3 linked regions of the Canis lupus familiaris genome follow. The protein of the gene in region 1 interacts with the protein of each later gene in a biochemical or structural test. Links are inferred from orthologs where the notes say so. Each region holds a gene or a part of one and is shown on either strand. Other genes may lie near its edges.

What was found.
Region 2: the proteins of DNAJC3 (region 1) and THAP12 form a complex in vitro, tested with the Homo sapiens proteins (2 studies listed by BioGRID). The link is inferred for Canis lupus familiaris from reciprocal best matches to the Homo sapiens genes DNAJC3 and THAP12.
Region 3: the proteins of DNAJC3 (region 1) and EIF2AK2 form a complex in vitro, tested with the Homo sapiens proteins (2 studies listed by BioGRID). The link is inferred for Canis lupus familiaris from reciprocal best matches to the Homo sapiens genes DNAJC3 and EIF2AK2.

The regions. Positions count from the first base shown.
Region 1 is NC_049243.1:46,522,932-46,526,583, forward strand, and holds part of DNAJC3 (dnaJ homolog subfamily C member 3), read left to right. Parts: intron 1-2,109; coding exon 2,110-2,242; intron 2,243-3,068; coding exon 3,069-3,217; intron 3,218-3,652. UniProt on the Homo sapiens protein: Involved in the unfolded protein response (UPR) during endoplasmic reticulum (ER) stress.
Region 2 is NC_049242.1:22,429,479-22,433,004, forward strand, and holds the end of THAP12 (52 kDa repressor of the inhibitor of the protein kinase), read left to right. Parts: intron 1-52; coding exon 53-1,986; 3' UTR 1,987-2,982; downstream 2,983-3,526. UniProt on the Homo sapiens protein: Upstream regulator of interferon-induced serine/threonine protein kinase R (PKR). May block the PKR-inhibitory function of DNAJC3, resulting in restoration of kinase activity and suppression of cell growth.
Region 3 is NC_049238.1:29,693,353-29,697,661, reverse strand, and holds the start of EIF2AK2 (interferon-induced, double-stranded RNA-activated protein kinase), read left to right. Parts: upstream 1-1,367; 5' UTR 1,368-1,426; exon of another isoform or gene 1,427-3,287; intron 3,288-4,309.

The sequences.
Region 1 (3,652 bases):
GAATGCAGGAAACCGCCTATAATTTTCTTTTTTTTCTGGATAGGGAAAAACGTGTCTACCTTAAGTTTTAATAAAAGGGTAGGATATAAACCTGTTTTAACTAGAGTTTGCATGAATAGTAAAATTTCATGTATTGAAACATTTTCTTCTTGTATTAAATTCCTTCAGAGTACATTTCCTTACTAGGTTATGGTATCAAGTGTTATTGGAATTGATTTTATTTTATGGGTATTAATTTTAAAGTTAAAACTCACTACTCTCTATGATAGTTTTGTGTACTAAATTGGAAAGGTATTTTATGTTGTCACTATGGGTTGGGTGACTGTAGTAATGTTTCATATTAGTATTTAATGTTAATGCATTGAGGCAGGAATTAGGATAAAAGCTTAAAATGTACCCTCCAAGGACCAGAGGTGGTGTTGATTCATTTTTTCCTGTAGTGCAGGTTACTTTCAGTAATTCTCCCATCTGCAAGGGATACCTTCCAAGACCTCCAGTGGATGGAGGTTACAGATCATATCCAACCCTGTCTACACTGTTTTTTCCTACACATAATACCAATGATACCTAGGTACCATAATACATAATTCATACTTAGGCATGGTAAGAGATTAATAATATTAGAACAATTACAATAATATACTATAGTAAAAGTTACGTGAAGGCGGTGTCTCTCAAAATATCTTATTGTCCTGTACTTATTCTTGTGATGATGGGAGATAAAACAGCTGATGCCTCCATGATGAGATAAAGTGAGGGCAATGGCTTAGGCATTGTGACATGGCATTAGGCTGCTAGTGACCTTCCAGCAGTATGTCAGAAGGATCATTTGTCTCTTAAATGCCTTCCAAGATTAGCTGTGCCAGGACAAATCCTCAGGCATGCTATCCAGAGAGGTTTTTTCCCCACGGTGAAATGCACTTCCATAAAAACTAGAATTTGAATCCAACAGTCCCTTATTTGAGATGTCTGCTTCTCAAGACCACTCCCAGATTTGGTGATGCAGTAGGAGGAGGATACACAGGATTCAGCATACAGTTGTACTCAGGCTCAGATTTATTCTACTGAAAGGATACAAAGTAACATCAGCAAAGGGTAAAGGACAGGTGGCACGAAATCCAGAGAATTGCAGGTAGAAGACTTTAAGAGTCTTTCTCTTTGAAATCACAAGACAAGCTATAATTCCTCAAGATGTGCATGGTGCTGTCTGCCAGGGAAGCTTGCTAGAGTGCCGGTGCCCTGGACATTTATGAGGGGTTGGTCAGCCAGGCACCTTCTGCCCTGACTGCACCCAAATTCAAGTTTCCCAGAAGGAAAGACCATGTTTAACATAAACTACAGTGTACAAACATTGAGGCACGGTGAGCCATTCTTACCAGGAAACGGCAGGAACACTCCTTCAGAGATGCCAGCCAGGACCAACCTTGCCAGCAGGCCTTTCTCAGGATAAGTCTCCGGTTTGCTGTGTTGTGACTCAGATATTCTGATGCCTTGTGTTCTAGATATTAAAGCATTCTAAGCTGAGGCATGCTAAAGTATTAAATCTGAGAAAGATTTAATGTGGATTGTTATCAGACTCCCTGTACTAGGACAGTGTCATCTGCTCTGGGTGACAGCTTAAAAAGTAACAGTTCCTGCTGAAGCCCTTGGGTGACTTAGATGTTCTGATTGCTGATGGTTCTTCTTGCTGCCTTTCTAATCCTCCGATTCTTCTGAATTGTGGACTCGTAGCTGACCGTGCAGATTTTCTTTGCCATAGTCTTATTTTCCTATGTAACAATCAGTTCAGTTGTCGTGATGGTAAGACTGCTTTGTATAAAGTACAGATCTTAAAATCTCTCAGAAGTGTGGCAAAGGTAATGTGGGAAGGTGGGCAGGTAGACAGCAGTGAGTTTAATTGACTGGGAGTAAAAAGCTACCTAAAGTCAGCCTTCATTATGCCTTTTAGAAGTTGGCTAACCCAATCATCACCACCACTTCTTAGGCTCTTAGCAGTAATGGCAAAAGAGTGAAGGGGCCAGGATGGTGACTTGAGAGTCAATCTTGCAGGATAAGTAGAGGTTACAAGTTACAGTTCCTTTGACAGCATTATCTTAAACATTTTGACAGCTATTCAGGATTATGAAACTGCTCAGGAACACAATGAAAATGATCAGCAGATTCGGGAAGGTCTAGAAAAGGCACAAAGGCTATTGAAACAGTCGCAGAAACGAGATTATTATAAAATCTTGGGAGTAAAAAGGTGAGTTATTTAAAATTTACATTGTTATTTTTAATCAACTGTTTTAAAGCTTATTGTTGCTCATTTTTCTCCTCTGATTCAGTTCCTTGCTATGTAATTTTAGTCATGGGTTAAACCTAACCATCTTTCACATCATAAACATCACATCACGAAGCTATTTTGTTACAAGCAGGTTTCTTTATAGAGATTAGTACTGTGACAATGGGAGATTAGTGATTGGTGACAGAGGTAGGACACTGTAGCATGATTTTTTTTTGGAAGGATAAAGGGGAGGGAGCTTTCTTTTGGTGGGGACAGGACGGGGAGAGCGGAAGGAGAGAGCAAACTTCTCTAGGCTAAGAATAAAGTGGCACTTTGAGAATCAATTTAGAGCCACTGAGATAGACAGAAGGTAGGTAATTTATACAAGATCCACCTTCCCTGAGCAAGGGAGCCATCAGCTTTCAGTCACAGTCTGCACCAGAACTAAGTAAGCTAACCAGAAGCAAAATAAAAAGTGTGGTTCAGAGTCAGAGCTCTCTCTTTTAATGCCAGGAATTGTATCAGGTTAAGTTGGAAATGCAAAGTTTAAAAATGGGTCTGATTTTTTTTTTTAAGAGAAAATTGCAGAGATCAAAAGTAATTTCTTCCCGTTGAGATTCTGAAGGCTGACCAGCTTTCATGATCATCCAGAACTGTACGTTAAGCATTCAGCCTATGACCCCATTGGCACTGTTAGGGAAACCAGTGTCAATTTGCCAGTGGGATCTTAAGTGTCTCTTAGTTTTTTTGTGCCAGTGTGTTGGCCACTTCTTAACTAATGACTGATAATATTAATACTGCTCAGAAACGCCAAAAAGCAAGAAATCATTAAAGCATACCGAAAATTAGCACTGCAGTGGCATCCAGATAACTTCCAGAATGAAGAAGAAAAGAAAAAAGCGGAGAAAAAGTTCATTGACATAGCAGCTGCTAAAGAAGTTCTCTCTGATCCAGGTATTGTTGGTCTTTAACATGTTCTGTGCTTCTGAAAGGGCTGAGTCAGCGGTCAGTGGCCTGCTAGCTCTGCAGTAGGAGGACACATGGCAGGCAGTGTCATGCGGGGGGTGGCGGGCTGCTCCGGGCCACCCCACGGGAGCTGGTGACTGGTCCCCGGCCTTGCAGTTGCAGAAGTCCAGTTTCAGGCCTGCCCCGGCCAGATTCCCGGCCCTCATGTGCCTGGTGCAGTGGGGAGACCAACAGTCATGGAGGCAGGAGGCCGGATTTACTGCCCTCCTCCTGCACAAGACACTAGAGCTTTTTGAGTCTCCGCTCTTTCACCTTTGATAATGAGAGCACAGCAGTGAGATGTCTTTAGTTCCTCCCACCACCTTCCCAGATCAGTGATGATTTCTTCATGCCAGACTTACAGGAGCTTGACTAGGAAACCAG
Region 2 (3,526 bases), on another chromosome or scaffold:
TTTGTATGTTTCTTCATGAGCCTGTTTATAAAATCAGTTCTCTGTTTTCTAGTTGATGAAACTTCTGAACAGGAACCCAAACATAAAGAAATAAACAACAGCAATGCTCAGAACCCCAGTGCAGAAGAAGGGGGTGAAGAACAGGATGAAGACATTTTACCTTTGACTCTCGAAGAGAAAGAAAACAAAGAATACCTAAAATCTTTATTTGAAATTTTGATTCTTATGGGAAAACAAAACATACCTCTGGATGGGCATGAAACTGATGAAATCCCAGAGGGTCTCTTTACTCCTGATAACTTTCAAGCACTGCTGGAGTGCCGGATAAATTCTGGTGAAGAGGTTCTAAGAAAGCGTTTTGAGACAACAGCAGTTAACACATTGTTCTGCTCAAAAACACAACAGAAACAGATGCTAGAAATCTGTGAGAGCTGCATCCGGGAAGAAACCCTCAGGGAAGTGAGAGACTCTCACTTCTTTTCCATCATCACTGATGATGTAGTGGACATAGCAGGGGAAGAACACTTGCCTGTGTTGGTGAGGTTTGTTGATGAATCTCATAACCTGAGAGAGGAATTTTTGGGCTTCTTGCCTTACGAAGCCGATGCGGAAATTTTGGCTGTGAAATTTCACACTACGATAACCGAGAAGTGGGGGTTAAATATGGAATATTGTCGTGGTCAGGCTTACATCGTATCTAGTGGATTTTCTTCCAAAATGAAAATTGTTGCTTCTAGACTTTTAGAGAAATATCCCCAAGCTGTCTACACACTTTGTTCTTCCTGTGCCTTAAACATGTGGTTGGCAAAATCAGTGCCTGTTGTGGGAGTATCTGTTGCATTAGGAACAATTGAGGAAGTTTGTTCGTTCTTCCATCGATCTCCACAACTGCTTTTGGAGCTTGACAATGTAATTTCTGTCCTTTTTCAGAATAATGAGGAAAAGGGTAAAGAACTGAAGGAAATCTGCCATTCTCAGTGGACAGGCAGGCATGATGCTTTTGAAATTTTAGTGGATCTCCTACAAGCACTTGTTCTATGTTTAGATGGTATAAATAGTGATACAAATATTAGATGGAATAACTATATAGCTGGTCGAGCTTTTGTACTCTGTAGTGCAGTAACAGATTTTGATTTCATTGTTACCATTGTTGTCCTTAAGAATGTTCTATCTTTTACAAGAGCCTTTGGGAAAAATCTCCAGGGGCAAACCTCTGATGTCTTCTTTGCAGCCAGTAGCTTGACTGCAGTGCTGCATTCTCTAAATGAAGTGATGGAAAATATTGAAGTTTATCATGAATTTTGGTTCGAAGAAGCCACAAATTTGGCAACTAAACTAGATATTCAGATGAAACTCCCTGGCAAATTCCGCAGAGCGCAGCAAGGTAACCTGGAATCTCAGCTCACCTCTGAAAGTTACTATAAAGAAACTCTAAGTGTTCCAACAGTGGAACACATTATTCAGGAACTGAAAGATATATTCTCAGAACAGCACCTCAAAGCTCTTAAATGCTTATCTCTTGTACCCTCTGTCATGGGACAGCTCAAATTTAATACATCAGAGGAGCACCATGCTGACATGTACAGAAGTGACCTGCCCAATCCTGACACACTCTCAGCTGAGCTGCATTGCTGGAGAATCAAGTGGAAACACAGAGGGAAAGATATAGAGCTTCCATCCACCATTTATGAAGCCCTACATCTACCAGACATCAAGTTTTTTCCTAATGTTTATGCATTGCTCAAAGTCCTATGTATTCTTCCTGTGATGAAGGTTGAGAATGAACGCTATGAAAATGGGCGAAAGCGTCTCAAAGCATACCTGAGGAACACTTTGACAGACCAAAGGTCAAGTAACTTGGCTCTGCTTAACATAAATTTTGATATAAAACATGATCTGGATTTAATGGTAGACACATATATCAAACTCTATACAACTAAGTCAGAGCTTCCTACAGATAACTCAGAAACCATTGAAAATACCTAAGAGACTTTAAAAGTAGGCTTTCTCTTATGTTTGATATTTGGAAAACTCTGTAAGAAATTTGAAACATCTTACAGAAAGAAAAACTGTCAGGTGTATGTAGGCCACTTAATCACTGAATATCTTGACTTATTGACCTCTCATTAAGTACATTAGCCATTGATAATCTGCCTATTTAAAATGGCCCCTGATTGAACTCCTGTGCTTTGGAGACATAACTGTTCTTCCAGAAGATAGCATTGAAAGTGCCACATTACACTTCTACGGGATCTCTGCTAATAGCACTTGGGAATTGTTTTAGTTAAGTCATTTTAGACATAACATTTATTATCACTGGATCCAATTGTCGGGTATTTGAACTATCAGTTCTTAGGAGAAAATAGATTTTGAAGAGGTGTTGGAAGAAGGAGTACATTTTGTAAAATGTTACAATGAAGCTCACGAGTGACCTTTGAATAGTAGGGGTTTTAGTATGTTAAAAATCTATAATGGAGTTAAGGGAGTTACCAGACAGAGAGAAAAGTGAGCTTGCCAAGCAAAGATTTCTGTGTAGATTTTGTCTTTATCAAATGAACTTGAAGGAACAAGTTATACTTAAAGTTTGAATGAGAGAACCTGCCATTGTTCCACATTGGGTTGTTGCTGTTTACATTCCTTTGTTGAGCCTACATCCTCATGAGCTGTTTAGCAAGTATATGTTGAACATCTATGTCTTCGTAAGCTTTTTAGCAGGTGTATGTTGAACACCTCTGTTCATGGTCAAGACAGGATCAGAGGCCATGGATACTGACAACTGATTTGTCTGTTTTCCTCTGTCTTTTTCCATGACTATATCTACTGCCTCGTCTTGATTTATAAACAAAACCTGGAAAACCTACAAAAATAAGTTTTTCGTGGTTATCTAGGAATAATACAGAAAATATTGCTGTTATTTTTGGTGAAGAAAATCAATTTTGTATAGTTTATTTCAACCTAAATAAAATGTGAATTTTGTTTAAAGTTCAGGTACATTATTTTTGGTGAGAGACAAAATGGACTCATGGTAAATTCTTTTTTCAAAAATATCACCTTCACAATTGAAGATAGGTTTTGGAGGGGGGGAGCATTTGGTGGAGTGGGTGGTCATATGGTTTACTACTTGGAGTATATAAAAGACAGTTAAGAAATTACTAAATCATAAGGTTTCTCTAACTGATATTTTTAAATGTGTGCTATATGACCCCATTACAGGTTTTCAGGATTTGTATAATTGTTGATGGCTAAAATGTAGATGAATTAATGTAGTTGCAGAGATGTCGTTGAATTATTTTATGTGGGATATGTTAGTGTTAACTTGAGTTTCTGAAGACAGAATGGGGTGCATTTGCAAAGTGCAGGCCTTAATGATAGCCGGCAGTGCGTTTCCCTATCATGGACAAGGCTGGCAGATATGTCAAATCAGGACACATTACCCATGTACATTATAAAAAAGATAACAGAGTTTATCTTATAGCCAGAGCTCTAAGAAGTGCCTCTGTCTTTGGCAGAAAGAACTGATCAGGTT
Region 3 (4,309 bases), on another chromosome or scaffold:
ACTTCAACCCAAATCACCAAAAGACTCTAAAGAAAGAAGTAACTTCCCGTACTTTTAAAAGCAATAGAAAAACATATCCTAATCTCAGGCAAAATGGTAACTTCCTGACAAATTTTCAGTATCTGAGGTCTTGATATAAACCTGCCATAAGAGGCGCCTGGGTGGCTCAGTCGGTTAAGGTCATGATCCAGCTCAGGTCATGATCCCCAGGGCCTGGAGAATCAAGCCTCAGTCAGGCTCCCTGCTCAGTGGGGAGTCTGCTTCTCCCTCTCCCTCTGCCCCTTCCCTGCTTGTGCTCTTTCTCTCATTCTCTCCCAAATAAATAAAATCTTAAAAAAAAAAAATCTGCTGTAAAATGATGACTTCTCAAAGACTAAAGTATTTAAGAAATACTTTCACAGAGGAAAAAAAATGACTAAAAAAAAAGGACTTTTAGGTCCCCAGAGTTGGGGGTGGGGGATAGGAGATTACTGAAGCCTACAGTCCCCTAAGTAATGTAAAGAGAGCATACCATGCCACCGATGGGGAAGTCCCAGTGGATGCTGTTAGTTTTACAAGAGAATTACTTTCATTCTTAAGACTAATTTTCTTCATGTGTCCATTTTCACATTTCAAAGTGAAATGTTGCCCTGAAAAATGGTAAAATATAGAGACATAGGAGTAGGGGTATGGGCAAAATGGGTGAAGACGAGTGAGAGGTACTAGTCTTCGGTTATGAAGTGAATAAGTCATAGGATTAAAAGGCACAGCGTTGGGACGCCTGGGTGGCTCAGCGGTTTAGCGCCTGCCTTCAGCCCAGGGTGTGATCCTGGGGTCCCAGGATGGAGTATCGAGTCTCACATCGGGCTCCCTGCATGGAGCCTGCTCCTCCCTCTGCCTATGTCTCTGTCCCTCTCTCTGTGTGTGTCTCCCATGAATAAATAAATAAAATCTCTTTAAAAAATTAAAAAATAAAAGGTACAGCATAGGGAATACAGTCAATGGTATTGTAATGGTGTGTATTGTGGTAGATGGTAGCTACACTTGTGGTGAGCGCAGCATAACTTAGAGTTATTGAACTACTATGTAATACACCTGAAACTAATGTAACATTGTATGTCAACCATACCCAAATAAAAATAAAAGTAAAAAAAATAATAATAAAAATAAAAGTAAAATATAGTAGCTTAAAAAAAATCAGGAAGAAATACTCTAACAGACGTCTGGGTCTGTTTTTTGTGTGTGTTGCAGGTGAAGTTGGCGATTGGAAAAATTTGTTCAGTGAGACTCAGAACCAGGAAATGGATGCAAAATTCAAAGAGTGCTTAACAGGCACTTCCCTAGGAGCAAAGCTGAAGTATGAATCTTATTGCCAAGCTTGATTCTGGTCATTCAGTAGGCATGGATATTTCATTTTTCTGAATAATAATTAAATATAAATAACAAAGTAAGTTGATCAAATAATAATGATAATTCAGTAACATTTATATGTAAATAATGTGAATTTAATAATAATGACAACATTTGAAGTTTTTGAGCTCAGACTTGTTTGTTCGCTTGTTGAGGAAAGGCCATTTAGCTGTCCAAAGGGGACACTCTTGCTAATGTGGCATACTGGGCTTTTCATTTCTTTCATGCTTTGGGTTCACATAAAAGCATAGGCAGATACTATTAGAAATATGCCTAATTGGTGTTTGAGTGTAAGACAGCCCTCCCAATGATGTATATTTTTTTGTCTTCCCAGAATGATTCCTCTATCTCTCACTACAGATCGAAGTACTTGTGGTAGCTATCTCAAACCTACTGTTAGGGGAAATGTAATTCCAACTCGGCACTGAAGTAAATGAATAAATCCTGTCCTCATAGTTCAAGGAAAATGCATTGCTCATCTACTCTCTGCATGTTCCTGCATTAGACCCTAAGGAGGCCCCATTCTTTTTATTTTTAAGATTTTATTTATTTATTTGACAGAGAGAGACAGAGAATGAACACAAGCAGGGGGAGCAGCTGGCAGAGGGAGAGGGAGAAACAGGCTCCACACTGAGCAGGGAGCCTGGCATGGGACATGGGGCTTGATCCCAGGACCCTGGGATCATGACCTGAGCCAAAGGCAGACGCTTAACTGACTGAGCCACCCAGATGCCCCTGGAGGCCCCTCTCTTAAGGGGCCTTTAGTTCAAAGATAAATATTAGATACTGTGTTATTGTGGCATAAAGGCTTTTCTACCACGGAGCCCCAGGTGGTCATGTAGAATTTACAAGAGAAGCTAGAGCATGTTTTGGGAAAAACCTCTTAATCCTTAATCTTCATACCATAGCTGGTTACAGTTAAGAATAGAATGGTTCGGGATCCCTGGGTGGCGCAGCGGTTTGGCGCCTGCCTTTGGCCCAGGGCGCGATCCTGGAGACCCGGGATCGAATCCCACGTCGGGCTCCCGGTGCATGGAGCCTGCTTCTCCCTCTGCCTGTGTCTCTGCCTCTCTGTCTCTCTCTGTGTGACTATCATGAATAAATAAATAAAATCTTTTTTTAAAAAAAGAATAGAATGGTTCATAGAAAAGTTACATAAAATTTCATTGAGAAAGACTGAAGGGTTACTATTTCTGGTAGTATGGTGGATTACATATACTGAAAACTCTTCCCTCAGAACACCAAGAAAATTTGGATAAAAATTCTTAAAAATACTTTTAGTTGATGGGGAGCCTGGGTGGTATAATCAGTTAAGTGGCTAACTCTTGGTTTTGGTTTGGGCCATGATCTCACGGGTCGTGAGATCAAGCTGTGACAACAGGCTCCACAATCAGCAGGAAGTCTGCTTGAGATTCTCTCTCTCCTTCCTTTGCCATTCTCCCAACCCATCTCTCTCTCTCTCTCTTTCTCTCTCTCTCTTTCTCTCTCTCCCTCTCCAAAATAAATAAATAAATCTTAAAAAAAAAAAACCAATTCATTTCTATTTAAGCACTTAAGGACACAGTAGTTTTTGCTCAACATCACATTTCCGGTACAGGGCTACACATAGTAGGCACTCAATAAATATATATTGAATAAAGGGGATTCCTTTTTTTGACAAGAGGTTGTTTTTAGAATATTAGATCAATTATGATGCTTTTGATGTAATAAACATAATATGAAACACAAATTGGTTAGCAGGAGAAAGAAGAGGAGGGGAGGATTCTTTTAACGGACTGGTCTAGGCTGTGTCTGGTTCAGATGCGGCTTGATCCAGAGCTCAAACAAGGACCCGATTCTTAATCTTCGCTTCTCAGCAGTACTCTCTCATGTAGGCTCCATTTCAAGAGAGGTTTCTCCTTGTGCAGTATTGGGAGACAGAAACCACTGTATGTTAAGCATAAGGATTTAGTAGAAAATGAATGCATGCATGTATGTTGGAAGGGCTGGCAGGATGGAAACCAGGAGACTTCCACTATATCTGCTATCCAGAGTTTAGGATTCTGTCACTGCCACTGCTTCCACCACTGCTGCCACCACATATGCCCTATGCCCTTGGAGAATTGACAAGGGAACTTGAGTCCAGCTCCTGTATGCACCACTGAGCACAGGAGCTTGCTTATCAGCTCGTTCTTTCACAGGACAACCTTTTCCTCCCTTCTGTCTTTCAAACCTTGTGCCATTGTTCATCAGTCATTGGCAGAACCCAAATTATGTCCAGAATTTTAACTCCACAGACATCTGGAAAATGTGATTTTAACCTTCCATACATTATAATCCAGGGATTAGGAAGACATAGAAGGGAGTGAGAACGGAAGCTAAATAAAAATATTATCTAGTGCAGTCCACTGCTTTGGCTAATAATCTTTCAAGCAAACAACAGAACTATGTTCCCACCTAATGCTGCCATCCCCTCCTTCAAAGGAAAAACATGTTTATCCTATCCCCTAATCTCTACACCCATTGCTATGTGATCTTTCTTCCTCTTCTCTTTTAGTTACAAATTCCACCTTAATACACTCTAACCTAGGGGCATCTGGGTGACTCAGGTCATGATCCCGTGGTCCTGGGATCAAGTCCTGCTTTGGGCTCCCCACAGAGAGCCTGATTCTCCCTCTGCCTATGCCTCTACCTCTCTGTGTCTTTCATGAATAAATAAATAAAATCTTAAAAAAAAAAGACACTCTATTTTTTTAAAAGATTTATTTATTTATTTATGATAGACATAGAGAGAGAGAGAGAGAGGCAGAGACACAGGAGGAGGGAGAAGCAGGCTCCATGCCGGGAGCCTAACGTGGGACTCGATCCTGGGACTCCAGGATCGCGCCCTGGGCCAAAGGCAGGCGCTAAACCGCTGAGCCACCCAGGGATCCCCAAAAAA